Saccharomyces cerevisiae S288C: one gene and its partners. The protein of the gene in region 1 interacts with the protein of each later gene in a biochemical or structural test. Each region holds a gene or a part of one and is shown on either strand. Other genes may lie near its edges. The genes, in order: TOP3, HFM1 and RMI1.

Region 1 (6,524 bases):
TGTTCACCGTATAGTTTGTCACAGGTGGAGGCACCAATAACACCAAAAACTGGGATTAAAGTGGTTGGAATTAACAATGCACAGATGGTACCGGCCCAGATAGCCCAATTGGAGGAACCAAATCTCGAGTAATCACTTTGGTTGGTGGAACCTGGAGAAACGGAACCGAACCAGTACGAGATCATATAAACCCAAGCCCAAGCTTTGGTGGAGCCAGTGGCAGTGGATTTAGTGGAGGTAAACAATTCTCCAACACCGTGAGCCTGTTTAGCTAAATAGATCACCATACCCAACATAGAGAAAAATGTAGCAACACACGACCAAATTAAAATGTAGTTCATGTGGTAGGGTTTCATTAAGTAACAGAATGCAGTAAGGACGTGGAAGATGATAAAACCAATTAATTCTTTAGTGGTCATGGCAACTTTCGAAGATAAGGTGTTTGGCAGGTGCAAATAATGGTGAGACCATGAATCCAAGATCATATTGATACAAAGACCTCCCACCCAAGCGTTGGACCCGTAGTTGACAATACTCATCAAAATTCTGATGATGATACCGAAGGCAGAACCGTAAATACCAAAGACGAATCTTTGGGCCAAAGTGAAACCGACCTTCCAGTCGTAACCAGGACACGAGTTTGCCAATGTGAAAATAATGGTCAACACATCACCGACGATAAATGTACCAATGGTTTCTGGGTAACTTAATCCAACACCTAGTGCAGAAGAGGCACTCATCCATGTACCCACTGAAAAGGACATAACACCCCAATATGCAAAATTAGACCAGAACCCCCATGTTTGGTTAGCCGACTTAATAGGTTGCAAATCCGGGTTCTTCAAGAAACTCACAGATGCCCTGTCTTTGACAGGAATTTCCAAAAATCTCAAAGCCCTGGAGACTTTACTACCGAAACTCATATTGATATAATGCAATTGGCTCTACAGTCCTTTAAATGATGTTGCGATGAATCTCAGAACAATAGATGCTAATATGAGTTCTGGAATAGGAAATGAAATGGTAAAGCTTCCCGATGACTTCGAGAATTGTATCTCACATATATACCTAATAAAAAAAAAGAAATTACATTACAATAGAGGATGTAAAAATTTCGCTTTTTTTTTTTTTCTATTCTCTTCCTCTTTTCTCTTCAACTACCCGAAAAAGGTATGCATACTATTTGCCTTAGAAGCCCGATCGATGAATCCTCTCCTCTTCCATATAAATCAATAAGGCAACCTCTAGAAAACGCCCATTCCTGCCAAGCGCTTTGCAGCCTTATGGCCGTACTCTGTGCATCCGCTGCTCATCGGCTCTCTGAAACCTTCCCTATGCGTTTGGTAGTCGCGCGTGAATATGCTAATTGGGGCGCCTTCCAACATGCGTTTACGCGGCGCGCTGGAGCTTCTGTGGCGGCGACTTCTGCATGGTTTGATGCAGTTGCGGCTGGTACTGAAAATGCACATATGCAGTCAGCTGAATCATGCAATTAAGCGGAGAGCTTTTTTGAAGACAAAGGGCGGCAAAAACGCCTTACATGGATGCCTTGACACGGTCATAAACTTGCAAGAGAGTATTCTTGCAGGCATTCGTCTTGTGCCAGTACTTCCTATACTTCTCGACTATGTCCTTTACAACATCAGTCTTGGAGGCATGACCTTCGCAGATTTTCTTGAGGTCTTGCTCCATTTCTCTGCGCTGGAAGGGCTTTGCAAAGGAGTCTTCGAGGCCGATGGCCTCGAAGCCGTGCACTAGTGAGACACCCAGGGTCGTGGGTTGTAAGTAGGTTTCCTTGCCTACTTTCTCGCTCCTAACGTAATTACGTACTTGGATCTTGTCTATGTGCTCCGCAATGGTGGCGTCTGTGCCAATGCCGTTTGTATCCATGAGGAGAATGAGTTCACTCTCAGTCATCGGCTTGGGCGGCGCCGTAGTGCCCGCCTTCATTTCGGCCTTCGCGATGTCTACGAGGGCATTCATTTCAAGCCGCGGTAACTGCTTGGTGGTTTCCCATCGGGCCCAAGGGTAAACATCGAGGAAATTTCTCTCTAGGACTACGAGACCTGAAGCTGAGAAACGTTCAACGGCCCAGTCCAACACAAGGGTCATCGATTGGCCCTTGGCGTCCTCTGAGCAGCATGCCAAAAAGTGCCTGGCCACGTACTCGTATACTCTTCTTTCCACTGGCGAAACATTTGCTTCAGGCCCCAGACTTACGATGGGGTGGATTGGTGGATGCGCTTTGTCGTCATGGGAGCCGCTTCGTGGAAACTTGAACTTGTTATTGTTACTTGTGTTTTCGGGTTGGAGCAGCGATGCCGCGTACGATGCCCAGGCGGTTCTGCCGCCTGCAGCGAGTTGGTCCAATTGAGCTTGCTTTTCGACCAAGGATTTTAGGTCCATTGCGTGTGGGAAAGTATCAGTCTCTGTTCTTGGATACGATATGAACCCCTTTTGGTATAGCTTTTCTGCTGCGTCTAGTGATTGTTTGGCGTTCAGACGCAGGTACCGGGCGCAGTTTTTTTGTAGCTCCACTGTGGTCAGAGGTAAAGGTCTGTATTTCGTTGTTGGCTTTGATTTCAAGTCTACTACTTGAGCAACATTGCCGGCGGTTTCGATGCATGTCTCGTAAAACGTTAACACGCTCAGCCGGTCGAACAAGTGGCCCCTGTCCCACTGGAACGTTGTTGTTCCGCCGTTGTCTTTGTTTTCGACTACCAATTGGATATACCAGAACTCTTCGGGAACAAAATTTCGTATTCTTTCAAACCTGTCTACTACAAAGCCGAGCGTTGGAAACTGGCATGTACCATACGATACGACTTGTGAGTCGTTCTTGTTACCACCGCGGTGTTTTGCACCATCCTTGGTCATGGTGGCTTGGTTTCTCAGTTTATTTCGTAGCGTTTCTGTTAAGAGTCTGGTGAATGTAACACCTGCTCGAAGATCGATTTCAATCCGCGTGCCTACAGCGTGCACACTCTTCATATCCAATCGACTTGGGTTTCGTGCTGCATTTAATATGTGTTGTCTTTCGAGATGCGAAAAGACTGCCCGGTATACTTGATCATTTTGTATGAGCCTGTTGCCTCTCTTGGCCTCCTGCCATATCTCCCAACCGATGTACTCTCCTTCCCGGTCGCAATCTGTCCATATCATCAGATAGTCTGCATTCCTCGCTTCTCGCTTGATGTTGCTTGCTATCTTTTTTTGGTTGTTATTCATAATCTCGTTCAGTGGCGCATCAAATAACTCTTGGATGGCGCATTTTCCCCACCCATGCGAATCATGGCTGAAATCAATGCCTGTTAGGTGCCCTGCAACACTAGTCATGGTAACTTCGCAGTTAGCCCCATTTCTGGCAAACGGGAACCCACTAAACATGAAATCATAGTTCTTTACATACATGTAGCCGGAATCCCTTGAAGTTGATCTGCCTCCTCCTAGGATCTGTGAAACTGCCTTCGCTATAGAATTTTTCTCTGCGACACATAGCACTTTCATTATTGTCTATAATACACCTTTACGTAGCTGAAGCGAGCGCACAGACGAAGGTGCTTTCAAAAGCGATGCCCTCTTTATTGACAGTTACTAATTCGCCAAACTGCTTTTTTTTATCAATGTGATTTTCGCGTTCACGCCATTATCCAATGTCAAAAAGGATAATGGAAATGTTAACATGCCTGTATGATCCGACCGTTTTTAGCAAACTTATCAGGGGAAAAAGTATATTCCATTAAATGACACATGCCACCATAGATAATGGATAATGAAGAAGTTAACGAAGAATGTATGAGATTATTTTTCAAGAACGCTCGTGCGCATCTGGATAAACATCTAACATCAAGGTTGACATGCGATGAAAATGCATATATCACGTTCAGATGCTTCCTGGATGGAATACATCGCAAATCTACTAGGTTTCTCGAAGAGCTACTTTTGAAACAAGAAAATATGTACCATAATAACAATTACGAACGCATAAATGATTCCGTGATACCATTGGTTCTGAAACTTTTATGGCTTCAAATTCACGAACCTACACTCCAATGGTTTGAGCACTGGTTCCATGATATCATGCGACTAAGTAACAGAAGAAAGTTCAGAGTTTTTAGAATTTTTCAAAAAAAAATGATTCAATTTTTCAAAATTACACACAGGTATTACTATGACATCATCGAACACCTATGCGCAAAGTACGATATGAATTCCGTTATTTCAAATGCTCTCTTCGCGAAGTTGAATTTAATGCAATACACAGATGGACTTTCAACTCATGAGAAAATTATCTTAAACACGAGTAATCCACTGACGTTTTCCATTGTAATCTCACTACAAAGATGCGTGATTAATCTAGGTTCCACACATTTTTATAAAACACTACTAAACAAGCCGTCTAACAAACCCAAGAGTGTGGAAGGTTTTGAGAAGTCTATTAGGTACTTGAATATTGCCTCACTCTATCTCCCAGCCGTTGGAGATACTTATTTTCAACGAGCGAAAATTTACTTGATCACTGGGAAATTCTCACTGTATTTCTTTGAATTAGTAAGAGGAGCATTGGTAAGGATTCCGTCTAAATGTGCGTTAAACAATTTGAAAGATTTCATTTTGACTCCTGATTTTCCGGAAAGAAGACGTCTGATGAAAAAATTGGCAATTCTTGTGTCAAAAGATCTCAAAGGTGAGAAATCATTCTTTGAAGGTCAAATTGTTTTGCAATTTCTATCGATAGTAGAACACACTTTGGTTCCACAGTCATGGAACGCATCACGTGCTTCTAATTGTTGGTTATTGAAAGAGCATTTACAAATGGCTGCATTAAAGTATCATTCAGGTAATATTAATGTTATACTTGAAAACTTGGCTGCCACAATGGGAAGTTTCGATCTTATGTTTACAACTCGAAAAAGTAAGGAACAAAAGAACAAACTCAAATATGCAGATTTGAGTGAGCGCCAGGTTTTTTTTTTAGACTTGAGCTTTGATTTTATTGCTAATATCATAGACGTCGTCATCAAACCCTCCTGGCAAAAAAACATGGAAGACTTTCGATATCTAGCCATTATTCGTTTGCTTATGTGCTGGATTAAGTCATATAGATCTATTTTGCAGTACACTCACAGACACAGGAAGTTTTGCACTTCATTCGCCTTGTTGCTGAACGACTTGATAAATAGTCCACTGAATTGTTCAGGAAATATATATAGCCACAGGCCGAAAAGAAGCTATCTTTTTAGAGAAGATATTATTTTCAGGGAATTTTCTTGCATTAACTTTGCACTAACAGATTTTAATGACGATTATGTGTATGATTCTCCCGACATGATTAATAATATAATTGGATGCCCTACATTGACTAAAGTGCTTTCTCCAAAAGAAGAATGTGTTCTGCGAATTAGATCAATAATATTTTCTGGCATGAAATTTTTAGAGAAAAATGACACCGGCGTCATATGGAATGCCAGCAAATATAAGTTTGATTTAATAAGCCCAAATATTAAAATAAAACGCCAAATAGCATTATCGGAAATTTCCTCCAAAATAAATGTAAAAACACAACAGGAAAGAGTAGTCTCTTCGAGAAAAGTTGAGGCCAAAAGAGATGAACAACAGCGCAAAAGAGCCGGGAAAATAGCTGTGACAGAACTGGAAAAACAATTTGCAAATGTCCGGAGAACAAAAAAATTGTCTCCGCTCCCAGAAAAAGATGGCGTTTCTTCTGAGTTGGTAAAACATGCTGCTTCACGAGGGAGAAAAACTATCACTGGCCCACTATCCTCTGATTTTCTCTCATATCCAGACGAAGCAATTGATGCTGATGAGGACATCACCGTCCAAGTGCCAGATACTCCTACTTGAGAGAACAAGTAATGGTGAGGGAAAAAATCATAATATGAAATATATTATGACGACGTCAATTAACGTCGTCCACGCCTGTCGTCGTCAACCCACGAAAATATGGGGGCGGTTTTTATAACGGTTATTAAAACGACGGGATGCCGTCTACGGCACGGACAAACCCATCGCTTTGGAAATAGGTGACTGCGCTTGAAAAACATAATTATTTATTAGCATAATAAATTCAAGACAGCAAATATATATGCTGTCAATACGTACATATTAAGCCTAAATATTCTGTGGAAAAAAGAAACAAACTGGTAATTATGGAGAAAGCTTTGGAATTAGACGGAGAATATCCGGAATCTCTGAGGGATGAATTCAACATCCCTACATTTAAATCCATGGGACTATCGTCCGACGATAAGCCTGTGACGTACTTATGCGGGAATTCTTTAGGTTTGATGCCGAAGTCAACTAGGAATTCAATTAATGCTGAGCTAGATGCGTGGAGCGATTGTGCTGTGGAATCGCATTTCAAACATCCTGAAGAAGCCAGAGGAAAGGTGCCTTGGGTCAGCATTGACTTACCTATTCTTCCACTACTAGCCCCCATCGTGGGTGCTCAAGAAAATGAAGTTGCAGTAATGAATAGTCTCACTGCAAATTTGAATTCATTG
Region 2 (8,253 bases), on another chromosome or scaffold:
TTAAATATTTTATGCTCTTTTGAAGAACCTGGTATTTTTTGTTTTAGGAATAGATAATCTGACATAGACGAGAATTCTTCATAAGTGCAAGCATATCCGTTAATTATTGTTTGGATGGGATAACCTTCCGACTGGTAAAGAAGCAGATGTCCCATACCTCTTAAACCACCCCCACGGGTCCAAAGGTCAAATCCACCTTCTTTCTTGGCGTCATCAATCATTTCTTGAGGTATACCAATTTTTTCAATCGCATCTTTGTACGCTTCTTTAATCTCATAAAAAAGTGCCCTATTATCATCTGTTCTCATTCTTCTCAAAAGAGTTCCAGCTCCATATGGCAAAGATACAGGTTTGCTGGATTGCTTGACTTCTCCGTGCGAGCTTATTACCCATGATAACTGAGTACTACCACCTGCCACATCTAGATATAGACCTCTTACTGTATTAAATGAGGAAACAACACCATATATGCCGACCCTAGTTTCATCTTCCTGGCCTAATATTTCTACTTTCCAGCCAGTGCTACCGTAAACAGCATTAACAAATTCATCCGCGTTAATAGCATCTCGCGTGGCTTCTGTTGCAATTACTCTGACACTAGTTTCAGGTACACCAAAATCATCGCAAATTAATTTGAATCTCTTCATGGCAGAACAAACCTCTTTTATAATATCTCTGGGAATAGGGCATTTTGCGTTCGTATGTGTATTATATTGAACTTCGTATAGAGAAAGACCAACCCTATCTTTAAAAACACAAGGCATAATTCTTGCATGATGTGCAGCCTTGGAAGATATACTAAAACGAATACCATTAGAACCTATGTCGACGATTCCACACAAGTTTCTCGACACGACCTCAGTCTCGGTATCACTATCGCTAAGTGTTGACATTTGTGGCACGCCTACACTTTTCGTTCAAAACAATCCTTAGTAAAGGACACTTCCAAGAGTGAGTTTCTTTTTTAAAAGGTACATATGAATGAATTACTAATCTCACTTCGATTCTTTCAATTGATCTAGGAACTCCGCCGGCAAAGTTATCCTATCTCGGCATTCTGACCCGGATCGCTTATCGCGGTCATGTGACTAATAATTGAAATGATAAATAGCACGATATGTAACAATAGTAATATATCAATTGACAATGTCATCTTGTTCCCTAATAAATAGTAAAGGTTCCAATTGTTTCACCACTGGCTGCATTTTAAAAACAAAGCATTATAAGTAAACTCTCACACATGCTAACTTCTGTTGGGAAGCAATACAAATAACAGAAAGGATTGGGGTAATGAATATCAGTAATGTCTATTGTTCCCGGCCATGCCGCTCATTCAAACTCTATATCGGAACCCAAGAAATCCAGATCACCATTCGGATCACTTATTGAGCTCGCCGCTGTATTACTAGAATAACTATCGGATGATTCAAGATCAATAGGAATTATTTCAGGGCAGTTTTCGGGGCCTGATTTTAGGACTTGTTCACCCGCTTCCATAGACGACATCTGTTGCGATAGATTATAAATTTTTGAAGGAAGTGTATGAACTGTCGCAATATCTGTATTTTCTTCTTGCCACTGCTTTGGTTTACTATTCAGTCTTTTTTCCAGGTGAGGGGTTGTGTTGATATTTTTTGCAAGCAGTGGCTGGCGTATTTGATCAGGTTTTGATACTGGCTTGATTGAGGAGGGTCCTTTTTCTTTTATATACTTTACTGGAATACCCTCTTTACAACATAAATGTCTGCATTGCGTTTTGTCTTTGCAGCTATGAAAACACTCGTAATTGCCATTAGATCTTACTTGGCGGCCATTACTAAAATGTGAAGAAGAGTGTGCCTCCGGGTGAATAACTGCTGCAGATTCAACCGCCTTTGATGATTTCTTCCTTTCATTCAAATAATCTAGTATACTATCATCTGAGGATAGCGATTCTTCTAATCCATCTTTATGGGAAACCCTAGACGTTTTCCCCACTTCTCCGTCACTACTGCTTTCATAGAAGAGGCATTTTTCTAAACTATTTAGATCTTTCCTTATATTTGGTGTCTTCGCAGAGAACTGTGATGCCAAATGATCAGTGGAATATACGATTGTTTTGCCGAGTCCGGCGATTTCTTGGCAATGAATTGAGAATTCTATTTTTTCTAGTTTTGGTGATATTTTTGCTGAAATTCTAAAGCCCCTTGGTGACTGTAGTTTGTTAACTTGCAATCTTCTAAAGTCGATTAACTCTCCTGAGCTTTTCTCGGTTTCGATATCTAATGAGAGGTGCTGACCATGCCAAATGCTAGACTTGAATGTTGCACTAATCTCAACTTTAAATGTCAACCACAACTCTTCATTTTCTATTTTGCAATTTTCTAGTTTTGTTCTAATATTCAGACAAGGCAACAAAGAAATGTCGTTTTTAATTTTTATGCCGTTTCCAATCTTGAGGTTAAGATAGTATTCAATCTGAGTATCTGACAAATGCCCCATTTCTTCTAGATTGGTAATTCCATGTCGTATTAGCCTTCTTACTGAAACTAGTCCAATTGTTTTCAATTGCCTAAGAACCATTGGCGTGTTTTCCCAGCAGTGACCATTCAGGCTTCGCAGTAAGAACAAAGTATTTTTCAGTGATGTTCCATCACTTTTTTCAATAAATGTGTCTACCATGCATTTTAGTAATCTAAAACAATGTCTAAAAACGAGGAATTTATCCTGAACAAGAGTTTGATGTAGTTTAGAAGCGCCTTCGTATGATGGAAATTCTAACCCACCTAACTCATATTGAATCAAAAGAGAAACCTTTTGACTAACCCTGTCAATTATTTGGCTCTGTTTCTTCTCGGTTAAAAATGGATATTTCAAAAGTGGCGATAAATTGATTTCTTTGAACAATTTTTTTTCATTGTGCCTCACCCTCATAACTGAAAACTCTTCAGAAGTGGCCAGTAAATTTAGTATCCCTTGTAATGATAGAAATTTTTTTGCGTTAATGAATTGTTTCATCGACTCAAAGGATATATAATGTCGCGTCATTGCATTTCCGTACGCTGTAGATTTGTACTCCCCATTGCTGATATCGATTATTTTCACTTTTACTAAGGTGTCAAGCAAATACTGACAGAATTGATTTATCTGAGAGTCTTCAACGGAATGAAAACTAACGTATCTGTTCACCTCTTGATATGCAGCTGGATTCTTCCCAAATCTAACGTAAAAGAATGTGTTTCGTAGCCAATTTACTGCAGTTTCAATTGAATATACAGTTTCCAAAGAGGTTTCTGCTGCTAAATGCTCGATCAAATTCAAATGTAATGAACTTTCCAAAACGTCAGTTCCATGAATTAAGTTTTCATATGTTTGCTTCATTTTAGAGTCTGTCATGATTACTGCGCACCCGTGAGTTTCAAATTGAGGTCTTCCTGCCCGCCCAATCATTTGCAGTACATCTAGGTCTGAATACTCTTGGATTTCAGAAGAGTTCCAACTTTTGGTGCCTTTGATAATGACCAAATATGCGGGAAGGTTCACACCAACAGCTAACGTTGAAGTTGAACACAATATATTAATTGAACCTGCAAGAAATTCTTTCTCAACGGCAGTACGGTCTTCTAAAGAAATTCCAGCATGATGGAAAGCGATACCTTGTTGCATACATTCATTTAATATTTTATCGGAGGGATTATGATTACATCTTTTCTTACTTTTTGAAAAAATATGATTATTTAATAAAAATTTTGCTGTTGATATAGTTGAAGCCCTAGTCGGACAAAATATTAGTACGGGACGATTATCGGCATGCTTTTCAATTATTTCAATCAATTTGGAATTATATATAGCATCTTTTTGGAAGTCATTTTTGCAATTGAAGGAGTACCCATAAACAAACTTCGTTAACTGAACTTGCCTGTACGATTCGTCAAAAGAAAGAATATTTGCAGGAAGCTCGTTGTTAGTTTTGAGCCACAATGCTAGGTCTTCTATATTTGGAACTGTTGCACTTAAAGCAACAAACCGAATGTTTTGACACATTGTATTCATCCTTGTCAGAATTACTTCCAAAGATGCTCCTCTTTTCTCCTTTATGGTATGAATCTCATCAACTAGGACAAGTTTGACCAATTCGAATAATCGGCTGTAATCGGACCATCTTCTTGTTAACAAATCCCATTTTTCTGGTGTCGTAATTATTATGTTACATTTTTTAGCCTTTTCAGTTTCCAGAAAAGAGGTATCACTAGTAAGCATACCAACAGAAAGATTCACAAAGGAAGGAAACCAGTTCTTGTACATCTCGTAACATAGAGATTTGGTTGGCGCGATGTATATAATTTTGGTGTTATTGGTATCACTATTTGTTTCCTTTATAAGACGTAATATTGCCAATTCAAATAATACAGTCTTGCCTGATCCGGTTGGTGAAGAAATTATGCAGTTCTCGTTACTCTCATAAATACTAGGAAAAGCCTCTGATTGCATTTTATTAAATTCTGTAAATTTAAAAACCCCTCTGAATGAATCTGGTAATATGGTCGTGCTCAAACATTTCTTCGCTGATTTCCTTATCGTGACCTTCTTAGGTTTCTTCGCCTCTTCATCAGGTGTCTGCTCTAAATCGTGATCAAATAATTTACTAGTTACTTGTGTATCATCTGCTGTTATTGAAAAATTATCGTCTTTGTCGAAGAATTGCAGACCACGGCCCTCAAATATTTCCTCTGTTTCATTTTCATCATCACAATCATCCAGTAAACTGTTATAAGACAAACCTACTTTAAAACTTGGTTGGCGGCTATTTTTCTTATTTCTTTTAAATGTAGCAGACTGGTCGTTAAAGTCAATATCTATAAGTCCTCTGAAATTCTAGTCCAGAAAAACCACTTTTGGTTGCATTTCCGCTAGATAATAAAAGAAAGAGGTAACAATGTTAGTCAAAATACTGTTGTTGTCCGATATGGTGTAAACTGATAAGGGTGTTGCTAAGCTTCGTTACTACTATTTGGAGAGGGTCTACTTCTTTTTCCTGTACCGAGGCGATCAAACTTTGTTTTCATCCTTACGACGCCTCTTAAGTTGTCAAATCCACCTTGAGGTATCAATCATTTTCAATGAAAGGATTTCTTGATAGATGATACTAATAGTCCCGTTTTGTTTATAATCCGGGGCAAAGTCTAAATACCCGCCGAGCCTGCATCCATTCGTGGTACATGATATGTTAAAACTACAACAAGGCATAAAAAAGGGAAGTATATATGATTAATTATATATACGTAAAGGAAAAGATACGTAGTTAAAGATTGTTTTTGTTGGTATCAATGGAATCAAAGATGAGTGAAGAAGAAGCGCATAAAACAGTGGAGGTGGATGACGTCGGGGTTCAATTGGATGAGGGCGATGAAGAAGACCTTTTGGAGTATGATGATGAACTCGTGGAGGAACAACCATCGGACGCCCGTATACGCAACGTGGCAGAGACTTTAATGAAAAGCGAATTGCCCAAAGTCACCGTGGAATATAAAGATACTACATTTCTGTTGTTCACGTCGGATGATAAGAACGAAAGTAACAACCCCATAATATGTGAAAACGCTGCTCTTTATCAGCGACCCATGGGGGAATTCATGGAATCCATTCGTAAATTTATGGGAAATCGTTTTGGCAGGTTGGCTTTTGCTACGAAGGAGTTGGTTTTACAACTGAAAAGCCTCGATTTGACCTTGTTCGAAGATAATGTCTACAACAACCATATTTCATTCAGCGATGTTTATACTATATTTAAAATCCTGAAGGAAAGATCGGAGTCTAATTTTGAAACTGATATACCGACGCACTTGGCTATTGAATTAAGTACAAGGCCAAGATTTGTCTCTCGGTACAACGCCTTGGTTGAATTAACTGAAAGCTCAGCTACGTTGAAAAACATAAAGCCATTTTCTAACGATGAAACGCATCCCTTAATTGTGGATGACAATGACCAATATACACACCAGAATACTTCAGAAGTCATTGTAATGGACATAGATGATGACGTAGGTGAGGATTCTGAAGACTAAAGTAGCCATGTTTAATCAGCACTGATCGTGGGAAATCCTGATGTCCAACGGTGAGTTTCTGATTTCCCAGTCACGGATTCCTTTTGAGAATCTTCTCCCGCGAATAAATTATTGGCTCTGTGTAATATTTAAGGTCGCCTTCTTTTTCGTTTGTATAGTCAGCAGTTAAGTATTCATTAATTTTGGATGATGCAAAGGTCCATATTCGATTTCTGATAGCCCTTCCCCCTTTTTTGTAGCGAATTGTATTATTGTTTTGTATTGTTTTTTCGTCATTTTCTTCAATTTTTTTCAAGTTTTACTTTCGGAAGAATTGCTGAAAGTATTTTCTGTTAGGATATGTAAAATACAAGCATAAAATATGTTTCAGGAGAAGAAAATCACTCAATAGTGCCACACCATTGTTAACGAGCTCGAGTAATTGAATCAATTTAGAGAAATAGATCATATTACAAAAATACTATGATTATTGAACGTTGGGAAGTAAAGTTATCTAAATGTAACCAAAATGTGGGCGGCTATTCTGTTCTGTCAGGAAACTTAAAAGAAAACATCAAACTGGGAAGACGAGCACAAAAATATTTGAAAGAGCTAAGAAATTTGCAACTTAAACCACTGAAAATCGGAGGGTATGAAAACTGCGGCACGATCAATGGTGAAGAGTATTTTTTGGAGGTAATTCACATCACCTCTGGAAGACAAAAAATAGATGTAGCCGTTGGCAAAACATGGAATGTGACTAACATTGAGAATGACAACAAAGAAGAACTACAGTATGAGTTATTCAAGGAAAAGTTAAAAGTCGGGAAACAGGACATGTTATTTTTTAGCTGGATGAAAAGTCTTTCAGTTCAATTAAATGCTCCTCTTCACCAAAAAATGACGGAACACGGTTTGGCAGACGATAACACGAGGTTAGAGTGGTTCAACATCCCACTTCTCAGAAGAAGTCAATACAGGAAAAAGGTACCATATCCGAGTTTAAGACAAATGTCCTCTGTACTGGAAGTGCAATGCAGCACACTAACGGAGGAAAAGTTGAACTTCTGCGTTGGATTTTCTGATAAACCTTTGTCAGAATGGAAGCCCCAAATTTTTGAGCAAACCTACAATAGATACCGTTTACAACGGATCTCACCTGAGAAATCTTTCAAATATAAGAGTAGGTGCAGTAAGTACAATTTCAAGACCAGTTCGCAAAGCTGGGTTGTGAAAGTCCCAGAACATGATCAACAGCTTAATACGTTTGAAAAACGTTATGATGAACTCTTTGATGCTCAATTTAATAAACTAGAATTTTTTAAAATAAGAATGAAAAAATTGAAAAAGAATAAGCCAATTGAGAAAAAGAACTATAAAATATGGTGTCTAGAAAAAGAAGACCTAAAGGATTTGGTATGGGATCCTCTGAAAAGAATTTGCAATCATTCTAGGTATGCAATATTTGAGCATGTTACCATAAATAGGGAGGCCTATTCGATCAAACCATTAAGGTTAACTTTTCAAAAATTAGATTCCGGCTCCCTTGACCTGATCGATAATCAAAAAAAGACGTTTGGTAGTATAAAGCTTGCAATGAGTATGCCAGATGTAAAAAAAACTGAAAATCAGTCAATTGAAGAAAGTGAAAGACACGATGAAACTGCTATTGAAACCCAAGAATTTGATGAAAATGATTGTCTTTCATCTAAGGCGGATATTAATACATCATTAGCTCCTCAAAAGAGATCTTTCATCGATAATGAACTAATGTCCATGTTAGTCACCAAAAAAAAAATAAAGAAGGACAAGGATGTTAGTGACACCGGTATATCTTCCACTTCATACTTGATAAATTCTGGGACATATGCAAATTCTCATATTGAAATTCCTACCTCTAATTCAGTTTACAATGGAAAGGAAGATTGCTCATTTAATAACTACTCAGTAAAGCATTCAATATTGGAAGAAGATATTGAGAATAAATGCATAGCCGTAAATGAAAACAAGGTGATTGAGAACCAAAAGGTAATTCAGTCATTATGTAAAAATTCCCATCTAGACCTTATCGAACAATCTTACTTTGGCGAATGCGATTTCATTATAAACCATTCAACATGTGTATATAAAATTCAGGCGAGCCGATTTATGCAACTCAGAAATAACGGCTCATTGCATTACGATAAAGCGGTAAACGATCTTTTAACTGAATTTCAGAGAGTCATTATAA
Region 3 (5,608 bases), on another chromosome or scaffold:
TCATTGATGATGCGCTGGATAGATGTTATAATGCAGGAATCAGGAATATTTTGGCTCTTCGAGGTGACCCACCTATTGGGGAAGATTGGCTAGATTCTCAATCGAACGAATCACCTTTTAAATATGCGGTTGATTTAGTTCGTTATATCAAGCAAAGCTACGGAGACAAGTTCTGCGTCGGTGTTGCAGCATATCCAGAAGGTCATTGTGAAGGTGAAGCAGAAGGTCACGAGCAAGACCCATTGAAGGATTTGGTATATTTAAAAGAAAAAGTTGAAGCTGGGGCCGATTTTGTGATAACACAACTGTTTTACGACGTTGAAAAATTCTTAACTTTTGAAATGCTATTTCGGGAACGGATTTCGCAAGATTTGCCCCTTTTCCCTGGGTTGATGCCTATTAACTCCTATCTGCTTTTCCACAGAGCAGCAAAGTTATCACATGCATCTATTCCACCTGCAATACTGAGTAGGTTCCCCCCAGAAATCCAATCGGATGATAATGCCGTGAAGTCCATTGGTGTGGACATTCTTATCGAATTGATTCAGGAAATATATCAAAGAACATCTGGTAGAATTAAAGGGTTTCATTTCTATACATTAAATTTGGAAAAGGCTATTGCTCAAATTGTCTCGCAATCTCCCGTCTTATCCCATATCGTAAATGAATCTAGCGAAGAAGAGGGAGAAGATGAAACCAGTGGCGAAATAGGAAGCATAGAAAATGTGCCAATAGAAGATGCTGACGGGGATATTGTGTTGGATGATTCGAATGAAGAAACTGTAGCAAACCGGAAAAGGAGAAGGCATTCAAGTCTTGATTCGGCCAAGTTGATTTTCAATAGGGCTATCGTCACTGAAAAAGGCTTACGCTATAATAATGAGAATGGTTCCATGCCATCTAAAAAGGCTTTAATATCTATTTCTAAAGGTCACGGAACTTTGGGTCGTGATGCCACTTGGGATGAGTTCCCCAATGGTAGATTTGGTGACTCCAGGTCTCCCGCATATGGTGAAATAGACGGTTATGGGCCATCCATCAAGGTAAGCAAAAGCAAAGCGCTTGAACTATGGGGTATACCAAAGACAATTGGCGATTTAAAAGATATTTTTATAAAATATTTGGAAGGTTCAACGGATGCGATTCCCTGGTCTGACCTGGGTTTATCAGCTGAAACGGCGTTAATACAAGAAGAACTAATCCAACTAAACTATCGCGGATATTTGACTTTGGCATCGCAACCTGCCACAAATGCTACATTGAGTAGTGATAAAATATTCGGCTGGGGGCCCGCGAAAGGGAGGTTGTATCAGAAGGCATTCGTAGAAATGTTTATTCATAGACAGCAATGGGAAACAACTTTGAAACCCAAGCTAGACCATTACGGGCGTCGGAAATTCAGTTATTACGCGGGCGATTCATCTGGTTCATTTGAAACGAACCTAGACCCGCACAGCTCTAGCGTTGTAACATGGGGTGTTTTTCCCAACAGTCCGGTCAAACAGACTACAATCATTGAAGAAGAGTCATTCAAGGCATGGAGAGATGAAGCGTTTAGTATCTGGTCCGAGTGGGCCAAGTTATTTCCAAGGAACACCCCAGCCAATATTCTTCTAAGACTAGTGCATAAAGACTACTGTCTTGTCTCAATTGTTCATCACGACTTCAAAGAAACCGACGAGCTATGGGAAATGTTACTCGACCAAGCCTAATATTTCACTGAATATAAATACAAAAATGCGAAAATAATGTAATATTTAACGTATACATAACGGGCAGAACGCCCTTCTAAGAAGAAGAGGCATATGCTAATCATTGGCTTTCCTTTTCTTGGAGCCGCCATTTACAAGTTGTTTGTCACGTTGTAATTTAGATTCCAAATAATCACAAAATTTCTGATCTCTATTTTCATTCCAAACTCTATTAATGCCGCCGAGAAAAATGACTTGTGAGTCCTTCAATATGAAAACGCCCCTATTGAACACAGTTCCCGGCAGTATCACAATTTTAGAACCCAGCATGCAAGAGCTCCAAGATATTGGAGTCGAGTTGATAGCAAAAAAAACGTCGCCCGACTTACTTTGTAGTGTCAATTTAAACACTGCTTTATTCTTGGCGGCACTGCTATTATTGTTGCTATTATTTTCCTTGGCGCAGTTGTTATCCGCCACATTCCCGTCATCTTCCATGTCCACTTGAGTGATGACCTCGTACTTCTTAGCGCCATTTCCTTGCGCGCCTGATCGTAGTCTATCCACTTTCTGTTTTTTCGGATCCAGCTTGGTTTTTATATCATCGATCTGTGTTAGCTTGGATTTGGTGATATTCTCTACCATCAACACCTGGAACAACAGTTCTCTGTCTACAATAACAAGTTTTTTATCTAAGATAAGATTCGAAGCAGTACCAGCCAACCAAGGTTCATTTTGGTAAGCTCTGAAAACAATCTGTTCTCTCGACCCCAAGGTGGCGGAATACGCTGGTGGTGTAATGTCATCTGTGATATCCTGTGATAAGATAGATGAAAAAGACATTCCATCCACTCGGTAGTATGTATGCTCTGCAGTATTTTGGCCTTCTTCTCAGTACTCCCTTTCTGTAAAGATTGTATGATTGGTTTATCTTTTTCCTTTTTCCTTTTCTTTTTTTTTTTTTTTTTTTTTTTCTTTTTTCTTAATAATTAGTTTCTCTTCACGCTACATGCTTTCTTGGCCCGTCCTGAGTGCAGTATCATAATTAATTTAGTAAATAAAGAAATAAACGAAGATGGACCCTCAGAGCAAACAGCCAAGACCGCTTGCATTGCAAAGTAATCTATTATTGTGCGCTGGGCCGCGGATGCCGCGGATAATAAATAGCCGGACCTGTCAAGAGGACGATAGCGGATGCGCTGGGAAGAGCTGTACTCTATGTACACATATGTATTGGTTGGAGCATATGTGCCTACATAATATGTCTAGTTGGCTCAAGCCCGTCAACTAATTAGTCTGAATGTATGGAGGCTTCTGCTGGCTCTAGCGATGTCGTCGTATTTACGTCACTGTAGTTCTCGACTCCCCGGAAAAACCTGTTCGCGTGAGCGGAACAACTTTCCATTGAGGCTTAGTGGAGGTATTTCCGGAGAGGGCATTCATCCCGGATTTCCTATTAGAATGGTGCAGTACGCCGCCCTCGCGCTCTCTACATGCTGTTTTAGCGCGCGTGATATGGACATAGATGCACCACGCGGTGTTTCTTTTCTAGGCATCAAGTGGCTTGCAGCCAATCAAACACGAGGAATGTGGGATGGAAGTACAATCTCCTCACCGCACACCCACGTTTTCCGGGACATTTCTCGGACAGACTCTTTTTTTCTTTTTTTTTTTTTTTTTGCTTCCCACGAAATCGGAACTTATCTATCAGCCGAAGAAAGCGCGTTGGACAGATACTTGAGCAGATTTTGTGGGGAGAGAGAATCTTGGGACAAATGCAAAAAAGAAATGGTCGGAACAAAAGGGCAGTATACAGGGCCGGCAGTACCTTCTGTTCCTACCACAAACCTTAACGATATCGGTGACCCTACTAAAACTGTGCAATAGATATTCCGGACCCACATCATTGCGGTGTTTTCTGAGTCCGCACTCACGGGACGAAGACGAAGAAAGACAAGAGCCTACAAATGACTATAGCGTTTTCTTTTTCCTTTTTATGCTCTTGCTACCTTTTTCGCATGAGAGGACATTCTTAAGGCGTATATTCTTATATATTATACAAAATATATTTAGTAAATTGTTAAATTTACTTATTGACTTAAATCGCCCTAGCGGAAACAAAACTCTTTAAAAGAAAACATCAAATAAGAACACAGACAAGAAATTTTGTGTACAAATGCTGTCAGACTGCTTGCTGAACAATTTCAGAATAACGGCTCAAATAGGGTCGGGTGCGTATGGACTAGTGTTCCATGTGGTGGATATACTGACGAGCCGTGAATATGCAGTGAAAACGGTCTTCAAATCCTCCTCGATGGATGAGTTTTATAATAAGAACGGTTTGAACAACAACTCTCAAGTGGCGCGAACCACTCTTCTGCAAACGCAACTGTATCATTTTTTCAAAAGTTTCCAAAAAAAATTGTTCTTACCTTCCGTTGATCTAGACTCGATATTACAGTTGACTGAGAATGAACTAAATAGGCTACCACACTACAGGGAGATTGCCTTCCAACTAAGAGTGCAGTCTCACGGCAATATCGTGAAGATTCACCAAGTTTTAGAATCTTCTATTGCCACTTTTATAGTGATGGATTATTACGACAGGGACCTTTTCACCTCGATAGTTGACGATAAGCATTTTGTAAATCATGGTATTTTGATTAAGAAAGTTTTTCTGCAGCTTTGCTCCGCATTAGATCACTGTCATCGTCTCGGTATATATCATTGTGATATCAAACCTGAAAATGTCCTACTGGATCGCAATGACAACGCTTATCTTTGCGATTTCGGGCTTTCCACTAAATCTAAATATCTAGCTCCAAATGTGTGCGTTGGCAGTTCATATTATATGGCTCCAGAAAGAATATTGTATTGTTTGAATACCACCACCAACGGCATACACGTCGACGAATGCTGTTCGAGCCTCCCTACGGATACAGGAGATATATGGTCTCTAGGCATCATCCTAATTAATTTAACTTGCATAAGAAACCCATGGTTAAAAGCTCACCAGAAGGAGGATAACACATTTCAACATTTTGCTAACGATAATAATGTCCTGAAGAAAATCCTTCCTATATCAGATGAGCTGTTCACAGTGTTGACGAAAATTCTACAACTAAATCCATACACAAGAATAGACATGAAAACTTTGATGTCCGAAGTTTCCTCTCTTACTTCTTTCACCAGGGAAGGGCCCTTGTCTCAAGTTCCAATCCTATCGAGCGAAGTTTACATGACGCATATTATAAGGAATGAAAACCTATTTTTGAGCGATTTATCACATTTTTCTGCAGACCAAGAACAACAACAACAACAGCAACAACAACAACAGCAAGTCCAAGAACAAGAACAGGAACAAAAACAAGAACAAATACAAAACCAGGAACAAGCACAACAGCAGCAAGAAGAGGAAGATGCTGAACCGGAGAGTGATATTCCATCAACGTATAATAGTGACGGAAGTATGGAAAAGTATGAATACACTAACAACCACAATAATAGTACCTTTTTAACTTCCTCAATGGACAGTACACCTTACCAATCTGATATCGATGACGTTAGTGCTTCCAAAGATTGCAAATTCCAACAAGATACATTAAGAAATAGGCTATTATGCTTACAAATGAATTTTTCTACTTTAACAGACGGTCCAAACGAGAAATGGTTACCAGATTATTGAGCAGGTCTCACCTTTATACTCACTGTATTATCTTATGTTCTAATTCGGTAATAGCTTCACCTTTTCTTTTTATCTTTGAGGTTTGTTTTTTTTCTAGTATCCTACTAGGATGGCTATAAGCAATGGCTGGAACGATTTTCATACTTTTTTTACGAACTTACGACTTTTCAGTGTCTTCTTTGATCAAAAGGAGATCACTATGGATATATATGTCCTACATAACTAATTACAA

What was found.
Region 2: the proteins of TOP3 (region 1) and HFM1 form a complex in vitro, tested with the Saccharomyces cerevisiae proteins (one study listed by BioGRID).
Region 3: the proteins of TOP3 (region 1) and RMI1 form a complex in vitro, tested with the Saccharomyces cerevisiae proteins (3 studies listed by BioGRID, with this or other methods).

The regions. Positions count from the first base shown.
Region 1 is NC_001144.5:606,766-613,289, reverse strand, and holds TOP3 (DNA topoisomerase 3), read right to left. Parts: upstream 3,508-6,524; coding exon 1,537-3,507; downstream 1-1,536. Other genes in the region: thiamine transporter THI7, read right to left, coding at 1-923; YLR236C (uncharacterized protein), read left to right, coding at 1,173-1,496; EST1 (Est1p), read left to right, coding at 3,766-5,865; BNA5 (kynureninase), read left to right, coding at 6,171-6,524. UniProt on the Saccharomyces cerevisiae protein: Releases the supercoiling and torsional tension of DNA introduced during the DNA replication and transcription by transiently cleaving and rejoining one strand of the DNA duplex.
Region 2 is NC_001139.9:26,592-34,844, forward strand, and holds HFM1 (DNA helicase), read right to left. Parts: upstream 5,046-8,253; coding exon 4,988-5,045; intron 4,836-4,987; coding exon 1,330-4,835; downstream 1-1,329. Other genes in the region: RTG2 (Rtg2p), read right to left, coding at 1-893; RMR1 (Rmr1p), read left to right, coding at 5,319-6,044; ZIP2 (Zip2p), read left to right, coding at 6,507-8,253. UniProt on the Saccharomyces cerevisiae protein: DNA-dependent ATPase and 3'-5' DNA helicase. Required in the control of double strand break transition and crossover during meiosis. ATPase is slightly better stimulated by single-stranded (ss) than double-stranded (ds)DNA.
Region 3 is NC_001148.4:500,443-506,050, reverse strand, and holds RMI1 (Rmi1p), read right to left. Parts: upstream 2,535-5,608; coding exon 1,809-2,534; downstream 1-1,808. Other genes in the region: methylenetetrahydrofolate reductase (NAD(P)H) MET12, read left to right, coding at 1-1,712; putative serine/threonine protein kinase SKS1, read left to right, coding at 3,868-5,376. UniProt on the Saccharomyces cerevisiae protein: Structure-specific DNA-binding protein with a preference for cruciform structures. Also binds single-stranded DNA (ssDNA). Functions together with SGS1 and TOP3 to maintain genome integrity. Essential for proper meiotic cell division.